Ovis aries: one gene and its partners. The protein of the gene in region 1 purifies or fractionates together with the protein of each later gene. This does not show direct contact. Links are inferred from orthologs where the notes say so. Each region holds a gene or a part of one and is shown on either strand. Other genes may lie near its edges. The genes, in order: CUL9, RBX1 and APEX2.

The links.
Region 2: the proteins of CUL9 (region 1) and RBX1 purify together in Homo sapiens (affinity purification with mass spectrometry; 5 studies listed by BioGRID and IntAct, with this or other methods). This does not show direct contact. The link is inferred for Ovis aries from reciprocal best matches to the Homo sapiens genes CUL9 and RBX1.
Region 3: the proteins of CUL9 (region 1) and APEX2 purify together in Homo sapiens (affinity purification with mass spectrometry; 3 studies listed by BioGRID and IntAct, counting the BioPlex papers as one, with this or other methods). This does not show direct contact. The link is inferred for Ovis aries from reciprocal best matches to the Homo sapiens genes CUL9 and APEX2.

What each region holds. Positions count from the first base shown.
Region 1 is NC_056073.1:16,785,715-16,789,365, forward strand, and holds part of CUL9 (cullin-9), read left to right. Parts: intron 1-812; coding exon 813-1,218; intron 1,219-1,640; coding exon 1,641-1,833; intron 1,834-3,651. UniProt on the Homo sapiens protein: Core component of a Cul9-RING ubiquitin-protein ligase complex composed of CUL9 and RBX1. The CUL9-RBX1 complex mediates ubiquitination and subsequent degradation of BIRC5 and is required to maintain microtubule dynamics and genome integrity.
Region 2 is NC_056056.1:217,992,980-217,996,822, forward strand, and holds the end of RBX1 (E3 ubiquitin-protein ligase RBX1), read left to right. Parts: intron 1-163; coding exon 164-249; intron 250-889; coding exon 890-953; 3' UTR 954-963; intron 964-2,233; coding exon of another isoform or gene 2,234-2,296; 3' UTR 2,297-3,285; downstream 3,286-3,843. UniProt on the Homo sapiens protein: E3 ubiquitin ligase component of multiple cullin-RING-based E3 ubiquitin-protein ligase (CRLs) complexes which mediate the ubiquitination and subsequent proteasomal degradation of target proteins, including proteins involved in cell cycle progression, signal transduction, transcription and transcription-coupled nucleotide excision repair.
Region 3 is NC_056080.1:53,047,641-53,050,459, reverse strand, and holds the end of APEX2 (DNA-(apurinic or apyrimidinic site) endonuclease 2), read right to left. Parts: intron 1,928-2,819; coding exon 1,022-1,927; 3' UTR 630-1,021; downstream 1-629. UniProt on the Homo sapiens protein: Functions as a weak apurinic/apyrimidinic (AP) endodeoxyribonuclease in the DNA base excision repair (BER) pathway of DNA lesions induced by oxidative and alkylating agents.

The DNA of each region.
Region 1 (3,651 bases):
AGTGTAAGACTTTATTTTGGGGGGCTCCAAAATCACTGCAGATGGTGACTGCAGCCATGAAATTAAAAGACGCTTACTCCTTGGAAGAAAAGTTATGACCAACCTAGATAGCATATTCAAAAGCAGAGACATTATGTTGCCGACTAAGGTCTGTCTAGTCAAGGCTATGGTTTTCCCAGTGGTCATGTATGGATGTGAGAGTTGGACTGTGAAGAAGGCTGAGCACCGAAGAATTGATGCTTTTGAACTGTGGTGTTGGAGAAGAGTCTTGAGGGTCCCTTGGACTGCAAGGAGATCCAGCCAGTCCATTCTGAAGGAGATCAACCCTCGGATTTCTTTGGAAGGAATGATGCTAAAGCTGAAACTCCAGTACTTTGGCCACCTCATGCGAAGAGCTGACTCATTGGAGAAGACTCTGATGCTGGGAGGGATTAGGGGCAGGAGGAGAAGGGGACGACAGAGGATGAGATGGCTGGATAGCATCACTGACTCGATGGACGTGAATCTGAGTGAACTCTGGGAGTTGGTGATGGACAGGGAGGCCTGGCGTGCTGCGATTCATGGGGTCGCAAAGAGTCGGCATGACTGAGCGACTGAACTGAACTGAACTGCCTAGGGGAGGGTGGAGTGAGGTTAGAGAACTTAGAGGTTAGAGAGCTAAGGAATCCTTCCCTGGGGATAAGGCAGAAGCTGGGAGGGTCTAGGAGGCAGGAAGTGTGCAAGGCCCCAGTGGGAGGTGGCCCACCTCCTGTTGCTGTCCCCAGGCCCTTGGTGTCTGCTCCTTCCTGAAGTACATGCCTTTCTGTTGGCAGAGCCTGGGTAAGAAGGCCCTGGGTGAAATCTCTGTGCCTGTGACCATGGCAGAGAGTCTACTACAGGTTCTCAGGGATCGGTTTGAGGGCAGCACCCTCAGCGACCTGCTCAACTCCCAGATCTACACCAAGTACAGGCTGCAGCCCGACGCTCTGAGTGGCTCGTCATCTTCACAAAATCACTCCAGTACCCCAGATCCTGAAGAGGAGTCGAAGTCAGAGGCCACCTTCTCAGAGGAGGAAACTGAGTCCCCCAAAGTGAAGGCTGAGCCCTCCAAGGCAGAGGCGGAGCCGGTCAAGGGAAAAACCGAGCCGCCCATGGCACAGAGCGATTCACAGCTGTTCAACCAGCTTCTGGTGACTGAGGGGATGGCTCTCCCCTCCGGGATGAAGGAGGCAGCCAGTGGTGAGTCAGGTGCTGGGAGGGGAGGGCAGAGAGGTGGGAGCAAGTCCTGGGTGCCCCCCAGAGAAGTGGGTGGTCAGTGGGGAGGGCACGCTGTGGTGCGAGATCACTTCTGAGTGAGAAGGTGCGTTGGGAGCTTGCATCCATTTTCCTTCCTTGGACCTTGATTATGTACAGTCTGTCACTGCTGCCTTCCTTCAGGGTCCCTGGAAAAGGAGGGTCCGTTTTCTAGAGTATCGTCATCTTCATTGCCTGACTATTAAATCCCTCACACAGAGTTGGGAACGTTCTGGATCCAAGCTACAGTAGTGAACAGGGTGTTCAAATGTCAGTAGGATAATTGGGCTTGACCGTTAGAGGGTTCCAAGGTGAAGATGCCGCAGTTGTTTTTTTTTAAGCCGCCGCCTTTCCCTCACAACTTTCAGAAATGATTAGAGCCTTGCGGGGTCCTGGGCCACGCAGCTCCCTGGACCAGTACGTGGCAGCGGTTGTGGCCACTGTGCAGATCTCCAGCGTGGACACCAGCCTGCAGCTCTCAGCGCTCTGCGCTCTCTCCCAGGCTGTGGAGGAGGTCACAGAGCGAGACCACCCTCTGGTCCATCCTGACAGATTCCTGAGGTTAGAACCCTGGGCAGGGAAGTGGGGGTTACAGTGTAAGCTGTCAGCTGGGGGAGGATAGTGGTAGGGAGGGAAGGAGCTAGGAGATCAAGAGTTAGAAAGGCTGGGGGAAAGAAGGGCCAGCTTGAGGCATAACTGAGCAGGAAGGTGGACTGTATGATGGTTAATATTCTGGGAGCACTTGTTCTGTGCCAGGCCCTTGTGCTTAAAGTTTTATAAGCATTCTCTCTTTAAATCCTCCCATCTGCAGAGGAAAACCTGATGCTATTCTTATCCACCGTGTGGATCGGGGACTGAGGCTTAGAGAATTTAAGTAACTCGCCCAGTATGACAGGTAGTAGAATCAGGATTCAAATCGAGATCCTTTTGGCTTTTGAGCATTTTTTTTTTCCTCCCTCTCTACTTTCTTCCTATTAAATTAAGAAATAATTAATGAATTAATTTGGCCACATCAGATCTCAGTTGTGTCGCGCAGGGTCTTCGTTGCGTCATGCAGGATCTTTCATGTGCGGGGCATGGACTCTCTAGTTGTGGTTTGCAGGCTTAAAGCCCCTTGGCGTGTGGGATCTTAGTTCTCCGACCAGGGGTCGAACCCACGTCCCCTGCATTGCAAGGCAAATTCTTAACCACTGGACCACCGGGGAAGTCCCCTAAAATTTTTAAAAAATACTTGTTAGTTACAAATAGTACACCATTGTGTTCCTTTTTTAAAAGATCCAGAGAATGAAAAGTCAAAGTCCCTTTTTACTGCTGTGGTCACACATCCAAGCACGTATCCTTCAGACCTTCTAGAGGCTTACATTTGCTAGTGTATTTTGTGCATTTGAGTTTTAGTATATGTGATCACACTCTGTCTGTTTCTGCAGCTGTCTGCCTGCACGCAGTGTGTCTGCATGCGGTATGTCCATCCGCGTGGTGCTGCCTCGTTCTCACTGCTGCCTTGGACTCTGCAATATGATTATACTCAAAATCAAATGTAGCCTGAGTTTGTAAAATTTTACTTTCTTGAAGCATATAGTTGATTTACAATGTTATGTGAATTTCTGCTGTACAGCATAGTGACTCGATTGTATATTCTTTTTCATATTCTTTCCCATTATCTTTTATTTGAAGATACTGAATATGGTTCCCTGTGCTATACAGTAGGACTCTGTTGTTTAACCGTCCTATATATAATAGCTTGCAGCTGCTACTCCCAAACTCCCTGTCCATCCCTCTCCCACCCTCCTCCCCCATTTGGCAACTACACGTCTGTTCTCTCACATACAGTGTTCTAAGGGATCTATTTTTCTTCACATCTGCCAGCGACTGGCTATTATCATTTTCAAAAATCTATCAGGTTGACAACATTTTAAAGTGATTGGTATCTTTTTGTCTTTAATTTCTTGAGAAGATAGGCATATTTGCATGCGCTTCTTGTATTCTGCTATAAATATTTTTATCCTTTGCCCATTGTCTTATTGGGTCTTTGTCTTTTTTTATTGATTTGCAGACATTCTGGATATTAATTCATTATTGCTGTTCCAAATATTGTCTCTTCTATAATCATATTTATTTTCTGAATATAAAATAATATATATGATCCCTATAAGAAAATGAAAGTTATAAGAATAACGATCATCTGAAAAGCCTCTATGCAGGGATAGTCACTGTTAACATTTTAGTAAACATCCTTACGTATTTCTTTGTTTATTCGTGTGCATCACCTCTGTATATTAACTTGTTTACAGTAAATCAGGGCTCCAGAGAGGGGGATATATATTTAAAATACGTTTGGTTCACATTGTAGTCATCGTAAGGCCCATGGGAGAAGACAGA
Region 2 (3,843 bases), on another chromosome or scaffold:
GGGTGTGACCCCTTGTAGACCTTTTGTCTCCCATTGTGTGCTGCCTTCCATGGTTCTTCTCCAGCCGCTGTGTATCACCACCCTGCTCCCCTTGAGATATATTGTCCGTAGACGGCTGAGCCTGCACAGAATTATTTTTAATAAAATGTATCTTTTCTTCCAGCATGCTTTCCACTTCCACTGCATCTCTCGCTGGCTCAAAACACGGCAGGTGTGTCCGTTGGACAACAGAGAGTGGGAATTCCAAAAGTAGGTGTCCCCGGCTGTTTCGACATCGTATGTAAGGTTGGGCTTTGTGGTCAGTACTGTTCTTGGACCCACGTCAAGCTGGAGGGTGCACAGTTTTAGAAGATGAAGACATAGAACATGGCTGGTTCATAAAGTAGCTTTCGGTTAGTTAGATGAGGACGCGTCTCTGTGGAAAGTGTATAAGGTGAACCAGCATTAGAAACTTGCAGCCTGGAGTTTCCCAGCCATCTAGGTAGGGTCTTTGGAAGTAGTAGTAGAAGCTTGCAAATTCTCATTTTGCAAGCTATTAAATATTTCCACAATCACATCAAGAATAAGGCTCCAGGGGCTAACTAATGTCATCTGTCTTTGCTTTGGGCTAGAATTATATCATGTTTCATTGGTTTATCTCACAGGGATTAATTCTGATACAGCATCTGTGGCTATCTCAACTAAATCATTATTGTTGCTGCTGTTAATTGTAGTAGCGTGTAAGTAATACACGGCGTGCAAATTTTCAAAACTTCAAATGATCAGTCTGTACTAGTAATTCCTAAAAGAGGAATTTCTGGTTTAAGAGTATGTATGTTTTTATTTTTGATAGTGTCAGATTTTTTTCCTTTCCCAAGAGTATGTACTAATTCACAGCCCCTACCAACAGTGAAGCAGAAGACTTCCTCCTCCATTTCTTGCCAGTGCTTTGTTATCAGACGTTTTCATCTTAGCTACTGACAGGTGAAAATTAGTTTTCAATTGTATTTTTTAAAACTTTGAGTAAAGTTGGGCTGCTTTTCATATGTTTTTATGCCTGTTGTATTTGTCTGTGAAATGCTTTTTTATCTGTTGAATTTTCAGTTAATTTATCAAATTTTTAATGGAAAGGGGGATTTTCGAAGTTCTCAAGAGACCTTTGTAATTGACTGTGCCGTGGAGCAGGCTCAGGGTGCCATCTTGGATCAAAACTGTCTCACGTAGCCCATACACGTGCCCAGGGCTGAGCCTAAGAAGTGGGGGGGTGACGAATCCTCCTGCTAGGCTTTGACACTGTCGCTTTATCCAGCTGGTGACTTTGCCTGGCTGTGGTTATGAGCGCCCTGGGAAAACAAATTCATAAGAAGCAAATTTCATTTCAGCATGCTTTAAACTGATGGATAACTTCTAGGTTATTCTCACTAACAAGCTGGAGCTCTACCCTGTGAGGACTTTTTTAGGGAATTTTTAAGCGAATTTCTTATAAGGAGTACTTAAAGAATCTAGCAGCCCTTCAGGATGATGGCAACAGTGATGCAGAATTCTGGTGCCCTGGTCTCCATCTGTGTAGCAAAGTATTTTCATTAGAGGCGAACTACCCACTAAGAACCATGGCCAAAGATTAAGATAATAATGGATTCTGTGTTCAAGAAATCTTACATGTGGAAAAAATGTCCTACCATTGGTTATAATCTTTCTGGAGCCAAGTTTTGGCCTCTGAGGAAATCAGAAAGGACCTGAGATCCATAGCTAGTTTCTCGACAGTTCTTTCGGTGGTGCTCAGCAGACTCAGGGCTGTAATTGGAACTGGTGATAGATTTTGACACTGAAGGCTGTTCGGTTACTATCCTCTGTAGGGGTCTTACCCTAAACTAGCCCAAGTATGGGAGTTGAGGGGAAGAGGCGGCCCACAGGGAAGAGGGCGGAGGATTCAAGCTGTCTTAGCTGCATACTGGCCATCAAGTGCAGCTCCCTTTCACAGCCATTAGCCGTGACTCCTCCCTGTCACTGCCCAGTATCTGCCTGGCACCAGGAAAGAGTCAGGTGGGTGCAGTTGAGTGGGGGACCATCACTATGAAGAGGGTGGTAGGGACAATGTTACAGGAGGCCGGTAGGCTGAAAGGGGCAGAGACAAGGGTTGAAACCCAATCTTCAAAGTTTTAACCAGATTGGTGGATATATTTTTAGCAGGTGTTACAGTCTCAAACAGGGAATCACGATAAGGAATGAATTAATAATTTACTTTGTCTTCCAGGTATGGGCACTAGAAAAAGAATTCTTCCATCAAGCTCAACTGTTTTTGTTATCCACTGAATGACTTGCCCTCCTGTTACTTATTATAAATTAGATAGAACTGTGTCTCTTCTGCTTTGTCTTTTCAGTTTGCTATTCTGGCAGCCATACTGTATTCTGTGTCAAATAAAATCCAGTTGGATTCTAGAACAGACGCTGTCTTTTGTGTATGTGCAAAAAGTGAACACAAGTAAAGGGCCTCCCGCCCCTTTCTAGGGTGGAAGGCTAGGTTTTGAAAGTGAGGTGTTTGTTCATCAGAGCCAAAGCAGGATCGTCCTGTGAGCACGTCGCTTGGTCTCAAGGAAGCCTGGTCCACAGCCTGGCTGCTGCTGATGATCTTGGGCGAGTGGTCTGTCTGCTCCGAGCTCTTCCTCCTCCGTGAAGTGGCTGCTAAGGACTAAACAGGATCATGTGGGCACAGAAAGAGGCCTTATAAACTGTGAGAACGCTGTACAGGTGTTAACTTTGTGTATGACATGTTGCTTTCTCATTTTAGTTTAGAAAAGTTAACTTGAAAAAAAATTAATATGTCATCTTGGCTGGCGATGGAGTAATCTGTGAACTCAAATTGGAAAACAGTGTCATTTAGAGTTAACGGGAGAATTCAGGTTTCCCTTCCTCACCACCACCCTTTGTAATTTGTTTAAGATGCCTTGGCTGTGGACAGAACTGCCAGTTCTAACACTACTTCAGTCTCTTAGTCTTTAACTGAGAGGCGGGTTAATTTACTGCAGTGATTCTCAAAGTGTGTGCTGAGGACTTGCGGGAGTAATGGAAACACTTTCAGGAGGTTCACGAAGTTCCTTTTCCGGCTGCGTGTCTGTACAAGGCCAATTTTTCTTTTTTTCCTTCAGACAAAGCAACGTATTGAATGAAAAAAGAGAGCAGCAAATCCAGCTGTCTTCTGCTAAGTCAGATATAAAAGAGATTTGCAAAAATGTAAAACAGTGCCACTCTTCTAACTTTTGTTTTGAAAACTAGTTACTTTGAATAAAAATATTTATGTTAACGTGATGGGTTTTTGTTCTTTTAAAATCTTTTAAATTTCTCAGTTTGATTTCCATTGTGGTAAATATCTGTGGATGCAACCCCCATAAAAACTCTTTGGTTTCTTCAGTGTGTAAGATCATAAGGGGATCCTGAGACTCAAAAGTTTGAGAACCTCTAGCTTAGTAATAAGAACTTTGAGGTCCAACCTGGGTGGAACCCAGCTTCCCCACTTGGCCGCCAGCAGTGCAGTCGCTCAGGGCCAGGTGGCTGCTGCCGTCGATGTTCCTTCCACCCTCGGCAGAAATCACCTCCTTTAAACCCCTTTCAGGTGGTCATTCACACTGCAGGAACACTTAAGCGATGCAGAAGAATGGTTTTCACACAGCTGGCGTCACATATTTGCAGAGTTCTGCCTGGGTGTTCATAAAGACCCTTGGTTGCAGAGCAGCCGACTCCAGCTTCTGCTTAGGTCATGGAACGTTTGTGAGGGCTAGGGGGCTGTGTCCTCTGAAAGGAGTAAGGGACACAGAAGGGGCTGGACCTAAGAATGAATGACTAGAACCAGGGCATCCCTGCTGGGAT
Region 3 (2,819 bases), on another chromosome or scaffold:
AACACACTGAAAACATGTCCATGGAACACTTGGGTGAATTAATATTTCCTGCCTAGGAGGCAATATTTCCTAATACTTGTACAATTAATTCCTGGTCCTGTCTGGCAACTCTAGGTTTGAGGGATCCATTTCTTTCCACCCTTTAACACATCTGTGGCAGCTGTGAGACCCATCAGTTGGGAAACATTGGTTTAAAGCTACACAGCCTGGGGCTTCCCTGATGACTCATGACTGTAAAGAATCCACCTGTCAATGCAGGAGATCCAACTTCAATCACTGGGTCAGGAAGATCCCCTGGAGAAGGGAACAGCAACCCACTACAGTATTCTGCTTGGAGAATCCCATGGACAGAAGAGCCTAGCAGGCTACACTGCATGGGGGCACAAAGAGTCGGACATGACTGAGTGATTAACACTTTCATACAGCCCACCTGAGCTTTCTGTCCCACCATACCCATCTCCCTTGATGACCCAACCTCAGCAGTACAGGAAACCCCAACTAAACAGAGAACCTTTATGGTGAGCACCACTCTTCCTTCATCACTTCTCCTTAGGAGTTCAAACCCGGGACTGAGATAACATCTCTAACGCAACTTTATGGGGCACATCCAAAATGTCCATATGACATGGTGCACTACAACAAAGACATGGACTTTATTTAGGCACAGATACATTTTCTGGCAAGGTAAGAAGAGGTTTAAAATTACAACTTCCTGGGGCAACTGCTTCTGGTGTACTTCTGAGAGGAAGGTGGGAAGTGGGGTGGGGGACTGGGTCACAAGCATTAAGCACAAGAAGCTCACCAATGAGGAGGAACTAAGCAGGAAGAAAAGAGAAAAAAGGAGGCTTTAGAGGAAGAAGAAAAAGAGGAAAGGGGAAGGGTCCTTGAGGAAGGTGGAAGAGGAGGAGGAGAAAGAGGAGGAAGAAAGGAGGTCTTGAGGAAGGAGGAGGCAGCTTAGGAGGAAGTTGGCCTCAGACCATACAAGGTAGACTATGTCAGACATCTCTAGGCCTGCGTTGGTTCAGCTGGGCCTGCTCCAGAGGAAGAAATTGCAGCGGGAAGAGGGGTCAGTGGGAGGACCCTGGGGCCTGGCACACATGTAGAAGTGGCGGCCCAGGTTGGGTCCTGGCTTCTTTACAGTTCGCATTACACATGGCTCCCTGTGTCCCCCACAGAGGGGCATGGGCGAGGGTCCTCCCAGCAGAGATTTCCAGAATGAGGTCCTTATCTCCTTTTCATCCTTGGCCTCTGAAGCCTTGGCCTGCCCCTCCACCACATTGGCCATCATGTCCTCTTCTGAGGTCTTTGGGGTCTTAAGGGTGCCCAGGCTAGGAAGATCCAAGTTAGAAGTTTGGGGGCGACTGGAGGATGGCTGGAAGTAGCTCATCAGGTTTTTTTGGCCTCTACTAGAGACAGTTTTACTTGACCGGGACCTAGTTGAGCGCACACGGGCTTTGTTTTGGCGCATGTATACCTGTGTTTGATTGCTGGGCTGTAGTGCTGATTGCTTGAACACAGGATCTTGTTTGAGGTGAACCAGGAATCGTAGGATCTTGAGTTGGGTACCTGCAAACTCGGGGAGGAAGCAGGTGCACAGAGGTGGGCACTGTTTTGCTGGCACAGAGGACACACTTAAGACTGCACCCACAGGGCAGTGATCAGAGCCCATCACCTCAGGCAGCAAGAAGGAGTCCTGAAAGGTGTCTATGACCAGGGTCCTATCCCCCAACACGTAGTCAAGCCGGGAGCCATAGTTCAAATGGCGGGCACCACTGACTGTCGACCAACAGGTGAAGGCCCTCTTCTGCTTTGGGTGGAAGCAGCGGTAGCTATCGATGAAGGGTCCCATGTGGGAGCCACTCTCACACCCCAGGTTACTGAGCAAACCATCCATCCACTTGCGCCCTGGGTCCTCTTCAAAGCATTCCTGGGGAAAAGGGAAGAAGACAAAGAAAGAGGCAGAGTTAGATGCCTAGAACTGTAAGGGACTAACTGCTTCATTTTACAGACAAGAAAATGTGGCTGTTCCAAAGAAGAATGCTCAAGGTCATACAGTCTGGAACTGGCAGAGCTGGGATTCACTTTGCATCCTTACTGATTTAAAAGCTCATGCTTCTTTTTACTTCTGCATCAAGCTACATCTACTTTGCACTGGGCCATAAATCCTGGGCCTGAAAGCTTCCTGTTGGTTAATCAAAGCAATTCTCAGAATTGCTCACCAAGGGAATGGAAAGTAAGATGTGTAGAATGGTTACCTCTAGGAAGTTGGGCTACAATTAGGAGTTAAGACTGTTGCCTTTTCATGTAAACCCTTTAGTACTATTTTGGTATTTGTTTTGGTATTTGACGGGCTCAAAGGATTCACAACTGAATACTTCCTTTGGCCCTGATTCCTAATTCATCATCCACCCAATCCACTTACTCATCCATTCAATGCAACAAATGTTCAAAGAACACTGACTATGTGCCAGGTGTGATATGAGTGACAAAGTGGGACCCTGATCTAGTCTTGGGGACCAACAAGGCTTTCTTTTAGCAAGTGATCTGGAGCTGAGAAGTGAAGATTGAGCAAGAATAACCTAGGCAGAAGGTGTTACAAATTGAGATAACAACTTATGCAATGGGCCTGTGGAGGGAGGGAACAGTGTACCCAGAAGACTGGAGAGGCAATGAGACTGTGGACCAGAGTACCAATAGGAGATAACTATCATAGTCCACATAAGCAAGATATGATGGTTACTTAGACTAGGGTGGTGCCAGGGGAGATAAAACGAAATTAAGAGATGATTTGGAGCTAGAATCAACAGTACTCACTGGAC